2 linked regions of the Rattus norvegicus genome follow. The protein of the gene in region 2 purifies or fractionates together with the protein of the main gene of each other region. This does not show direct contact. Links are inferred from orthologs where the notes say so. Each region holds a gene or a part of one and is shown on either strand. Other genes may lie near its edges.

Region 1 (3,500 bases), on a different chromosome or scaffold from region 2:
TGAACAAGGCAGTAAGTAGCACCCCTCCATGGCCTCTGCGTCAGCCCCTGCCTGTTTGGGTTTCTGTCCTGACGTCCTTCAATAATAAACAATGACTTGGAAGCAAGTGTAAGCCAAGTAAGTCCTTTCCTTCCAAGCTCCACTTTGGCCATTGCGTCTTGAAGCAGCAAAAGGAAACCTAACTACCATAGTGCTAAATGTTCTAACCTTCTAGATTATTCATGCAAATGCAAGAAGTCCCAGAGTCCACTGAGGAGGTGAAATCAACCAAGGAGGGAGCCCTCCCCACCTTCCATCCACTGCCCCAGCTGCATGCTGTTTTCAACGGCATCCAGTTCAACAGCCATCATTGCTGACAGCTGTCCTGAATTCCCCCGAAGGTCCCAGAGAGGTGACACCGCCTAACAGAGCTGAGGCCGCAAAGCCACAGCCTTCCCCATGCACTTCACCTCTCCACTCAAGTCCAGTGTGACTCGGGTAGAGTTAGAGGTAGGGGGAGTTTTCAAGAGTCTCAGGCTAACCACTACCCCACCTCTCCAAGCTGCCCTAGCATGTCCATTCGAGTAGCTTCTTCTCTACACGGGCCCTCCAGGGTCAGGGGGCAATTGGGCATCTCTCATGATCCAGTCATGCTGAGTTCTGCCCCCTAGAGCCACACTTGGGGCAATGTCTACAGCTACTTTCACAAAATGCAAATTATCCCTAGGGCCCTCTCCAGTCCTCTGCGCCCACCGCCCCCCAACTGCTATCTGAAGCTCAGAACAGCATTTCTACCCCGATTCACTGGGTCACACAGCATGTGTGCTTATGAAGGGCTGTGCTATGCTTTCACAGGAGAGCAGGATGCCTACTGTTGATAGATCCCCTTCTGACCTACAGAAAGGAGAGATACAAACATACAATCTGGACGGACTACAAACTCATGGCCAAAAAGATATGCTTGGGGTCTACTGAGACTCATTTCTGAATTTAGGAATGGGGATGGGGCGGTCTCCTGTCAAGTCCTGGATCCTACACAGTGCTCTCAGAAGGTGCCTCTCCTAGTGGAAAGAGGAACGAAATAAAAATACTTGTTCTGCCTGTCAAGTGGTAGCAACAGGGGATGCTATGAGTCACCCCTGTGTTAATGGGGACATCAAGAACAAAGGAGGAAAGGCCTGAGAAATTCAGACAAGGGCAAGTGTGAAGCCAGGGGAAGGCCCTGGTCTCTCTCTGATCCCCATCATCCTGACACCCAGGGCCTGACACCTGACTCTACCCTTGAGAGATACCTAAGTGCCACTCTCTGCTGTCACCAGAAGTTAGCACATAGGCATCATGGGAGCAAGAATGGGGAAATGGGAAGAGGGCACTTTGTCCAGTGCGATCTTAACCCTGGATCAGCTACGAGGCACTAAGTCGGTGGTTCTATACCTTCCTAATGCTATGGCTCTTTAATACATGGTGTGGTGACTGCAACCATAAAATTATTCTCACTGCTACTTTGTAACTGTCATTTTGGTACTGTCATGAATCATAATGTAAATATCTCTGTTTCTGAAGGTCTTAGGCAACCCCTGTGAAACGGTAATTTGATACCCCCAAAGGGACTGTGACCCTCAGGTTGAAAGCCACTACTCTCTAGGGAAGGCTCTTCAACAGAGCTCCCAAAAGTGTAGCCAATGAAGATTCCAAGATGAACAGAGGCTCTCCTCAAAATGAAGAAGAAGAGGCAATTACCCGGACTTGACCAGACACTCGTGAGTCTTGAGAACATCCTTGAGTGGTATGGTGCGCAGAGGCTCTCTATCCTGATGGGAAAGACGGAAGATGGGCAGGTGAGCTGTGCACACGGCCCAGTGACCCACGCCAGTTCACCAACACCCCTCTCTCAGAGTATTGGCTAAAACCGAATCCGGGGAAGAGCCCCAAAGCGGCTCACCGCACAGACGCTGGCAGCCATCCGGGCCCTTTTATAATCACATTATAAAGAGACGCAGGTTGGACAGAGATAAGACAAGAAGTGGCTTGGAAGTCTACATGGGCCTGGCTTCCACTCATGCTCACTCTCTGTTTCTCAGACCTCTCAGGAGGGACCCGAACCCTCTACCTACCTGCTCGCACTTGAAGTAGCAGATGGTAAAGTCATCGAGGGCAAAGAAGCGCCGTTTCCAACTCTTCCGCTGAAAGGAAAAACAAGGAGTCAAACCATCAAGGACAGGTCTCCAGAGCCGGGACTGGCACTGTCACAGAAAATGCCCAGACACCATGGAAGCCAGGCTGCCATCTTCAGCAGGGACAAAGAACAGGAACAATTGGAGTATGAAGTCAGTGAAAGGCCTAGGCCTCCATCTGAGCTCCCATCTTCCCAGGGACCAAGCACCTAATGCCTGAAGAGCACCTGAAGGTCCTTCTCTGCTGCCACCGGAAGCTTCTACTGTGCCAGCTAGTTTTAAATCAACTTGACACAGTCTGAGAGGAGGGAACCTCAATTGAGAAAATGCCTTCATAAGATGGGGCTACAGGCAAGCCTTCTGGGGGACTAATGGCCAGTTCCGAGTGGCAGTTAGCACAGAGGGGTACAGCTCCTCCTCTCACCGTCCTCTGCTCCATCCGTGCTCTCTGGGTCCCAGGGGCATCAGAACCCCAGCGTGGCCCCCATGCTGGCACTCACCACGTTCCCTTGCTTCACACAGTAGCCACTCTTAATAAGAGAAGGCCCGCTGGGGGGACGGCAGCCTGACGTGGGGACGTAGCTCTGAGACCTTCGCAGGAAGGCGTGAGTCCCTGGCTCGCTCCCTTCCGGCCCATCCCCACCATTCTACGAGGAAACAGAGGCACTGTTAACACCCCGGCCACTCCCCTGCGCAGACCAGCCCCTCCCAACCTCCCCGCCACACCTCTGGCTTTTTCGGTACAATGTCAAAGAACTAAGAACCGACTTTGACTCCAACTAGTCTGTGCTCTACTGAGTGTTTTCCCGAAGAACAACAATGGCTAAGAAGAAGAGGAGGAAGAGGAAGGAGGCAACACAGAACCGTAGAAGGCACAAGCACACAGACAGGGCTGCAGACTTTTACCCCACTGCCTCCCTCAGCCCCACTGCCTTTACATTTTATGAGTGCTCACTGCCTGGGTCTTAAGCAAAAGCACAGAGGCCGCACATCCTCAAGATGTCATGGCCCCAACCTCTACCTTGGCACCGACCACATCCACCCTGCACTGAATCGCCCGGGTCATCTTCTTCACTAGCTCCCCCATTCTAATGCTTTGGGCTGGTCCTTGGGCACAATGGACATGTCTTCACTGTCCCTGCACGGCACCCCTAGGCAATGGCACCTGGCTGATGGGTGTCTGCACCACCACTCCCCCGATGATCTCAGTCTTGTAGGCCACCTGCGGTTTCTTCTCTAGGGTGGGAGGAGCTGTCAGGTTTTTGAGAACTTCTGTGGCCACGGGTACCGTCCCAGCCTTGGGTACCTAGGAAGAACGGTGATATGGTCAGCAAAAAATAGAAAGCT
Region 2 (2,442 bases):
ATCCTTTCTACGCTTTGCAAGGAAAGCCTGCTCAAGCCGTCTTGGTTTTTACTACAAGGGAAAAGAGATTCTTCTTATTCCTATAGGCCCTAAATAATTATGATTAAACACAGACATCACTATTTAAAAAAGAACTCCATCTAAGGCACGCACATAGACGATAATTATGCAATTAAATATAAGATTAAAAATATGGAAAAGTTAATGAGGAGAGTATAATGATGAAATTCTTAAAATATGTTCTAACTAGCAAGCCTGAAATAAATTGTTCCTAGGCCGAGGGAAAGGATTGCATGGTGCTTCTATTCATTGGCAAATGCTGTCTGTATTTTTGGATATACCAATAACTTTAAAAAAAAATCTCACAAATTAAGCCTACAGCTAGTTTGCCACGGAACAGCACTTTAAATTGGTTGAAAATAGTAGTATTTTTCTAAAATAATAGGAACTTCCATAAAATCAAGGGCCATAGAATTTAAAGAGACCGAACGAAGTCTCTGTAGGCCTGATGTTCACTCCACTATTTTGTGCTGTAAAATGTTAGATTCTTAGTTTTCTTCTGCAGGAAACATTATTCAATTTTGTAGTCTTCGAAAATAGGTCTTAATAACACATTATCAACCATTATATGCATTTCTATTATTTTAATGACTTCATCAAAACTACGGTCTCTTTATTCTTATTCTAAACATTCCCAAGATAGTTTAGTAGATGACTACAACTATATACAGAGCTTTCTTTTCCAAAGTAATTGAATTCCTTGATTGCAAATAATGCTTTATTGTAGACAGCAGGTCTGCTCACCACTCTTCAAATGTATAAACACCCTAGTCATGATGTGAGATTAATTCTGTGTATTTTTCAGTACCTACTTTAGGTTTCACAACTATAAAGGAACACAGGGGAAAGCGTGCCAGTCCTCGACAGTAGACATTTTATGCAAGTCCATTTTCCAAAGATAATCGTATGTGACTTGCTATTAAATGGAAAGGACAGGCTTCATTGATTATGTCATGTATATTGCTGAGAGTTTCCATGGAGTTACAATTTGAACTAGTTTTCTCTAAACATAATGAAACCTCAAACAGGACAAAAATATTTAATGACCTGTTCCTGCAGGGATTTCAAAAGAAAATATCAGTGTTAACCATTTGGCATCACCTCAGGCCATAAACTAATAAGCCAGCTGCTGACCAGTGTTAATTAATGTTTAGTAAGGAACAGAGTGGTTAACAACTGCAAGCTTACCTTTGCGAACACTGTTTTAACATAAATTGGTAAGTCTCCATGAGGGCTGCCATAGCCACCTACAATGCTGAAGCCTAAGCCATCTGGTCCTCGGTCTAGTGTTATGGTCTTAGACTGTGGAGGGCTACAGAAAAGGAAAGGAGAAAAAAGGTTTCCCAACTGAATGTGCACACGCATATGTATGCATGTGCGCACAAACACCCCCACCCCAACCCTTGGCTCTGTGCTTTACCTGACTCAGACTATAGCTAGCATATTCTGCATTTACAGATAAGGAAGATGCTATTTATTACATGTTCTCATGGCACAGAAACTCTCATTCTCATTTTTTCCAGCTTATTGTGAGGGGATGAAAGTTCAAAGGGCCATAATGCAAGGTCATAAACAATAGTTTCAACTTCAGACAGGAAAGTCAATTGTGAACAAAATGAGGGCAGCATCAAATAACTTGAAAATTTAAATGTCTCTCTTTACTTTTCATCTTTCCCAATGCTTTTATATTTAGTGTTATTTTCTAATATATTCAGTATTTTCAATCAAAGTTCAATGAACAAGAGCAAGAAAATATCCTCTCAAAAATATCAAAACTGAAAATTCAGGAAGTGTGGTAGGGTGAATAGCTGTCTGTAGTCTATTCATCTCTTACTAGGTAACTGTTTATACTCGAGGCAGTTCTGACCAGGCAGTGGTCTGTAACCCACCCATCTGACTAGCTGACTAGAAGCATTGACACTCTCTACTTTATATGCCCTCTCCATTTATTTTACCTCAGTGTGAGTGCCCGGAACATGGGACAGAGACTGCAACTGTCTCAAGGAATAAATGACACACCCGATAATGTATTGCTCACCCTAAGTCATCCGGAAATATAGTGCTGGAAGTCAGCCCAGTGAAAGCAAGGCAAGGATTGGCAAGCTCTTGCTGATGACCCGTGACCACACTCACATCTCCTCCAGCAACCACCTGTGTGTGGGCACAGTGAGAGGAGGAAACGCATGTTCACCTAACCCAAGAGATCCCAAAAGACCACTCCAAAGAAAAACTTAGATTAAAATGAGAGTTTTTACTGACTGACTACTTAAACACAGAAATGATTAAAACATTATTGAAAAGAAAGAAACTTCACAATGCCCAGGAACCTCAGATATCCAAAATTAAGTTCTATAATTTTCTTTGTTTTCTAATCATGGCTTC

What was found. Proteins that work in one complex are often made in the same cells at the same time.
Region 1: the proteins of Mpdz (region 2) and Plekha2 purify together in Homo sapiens (affinity purification with western blotting; 3 studies listed by BioGRID and IntAct, with this or other methods). This does not show direct contact. The link is inferred for Rattus norvegicus from reciprocal best matches to the Homo sapiens genes MPDZ and PLEKHA2.

Annotation. Positions count from the first base shown.
Region 1 is NC_086034.1:73,683,222-73,686,721, reverse strand, and holds part of Plekha2 (pleckstrin homology domain containing A2), read right to left. Parts: intron 3,460-3,500; coding exon 3,319-3,459; intron 2,801-3,318; coding exon 2,654-2,800; intron 2,163-2,653; coding exon 2,094-2,162; intron 1,791-2,093; coding exon 1,720-1,790; intron 1-1,719. UniProt on the Homo sapiens protein: Binds specifically to phosphatidylinositol 3,4-diphosphate (PtdIns3,4P2), but not to other phosphoinositides. May recruit other proteins to the plasma membrane.
Region 2 is NC_086023.1:100,814,063-100,816,504, forward strand, and holds part of Mpdz (multiple PDZ domain protein), read right to left. Parts: intron 2,212-2,442; coding exon 2,099-2,211; intron 1,373-2,098; coding exon 1,249-1,372; intron 1-1,248. UniProt on the Homo sapiens protein: Member of the NMDAR signaling complex that may play a role in control of AMPAR potentiation and synaptic plasticity in excitatory synapses. Promotes clustering of HT2RC at the cell surface.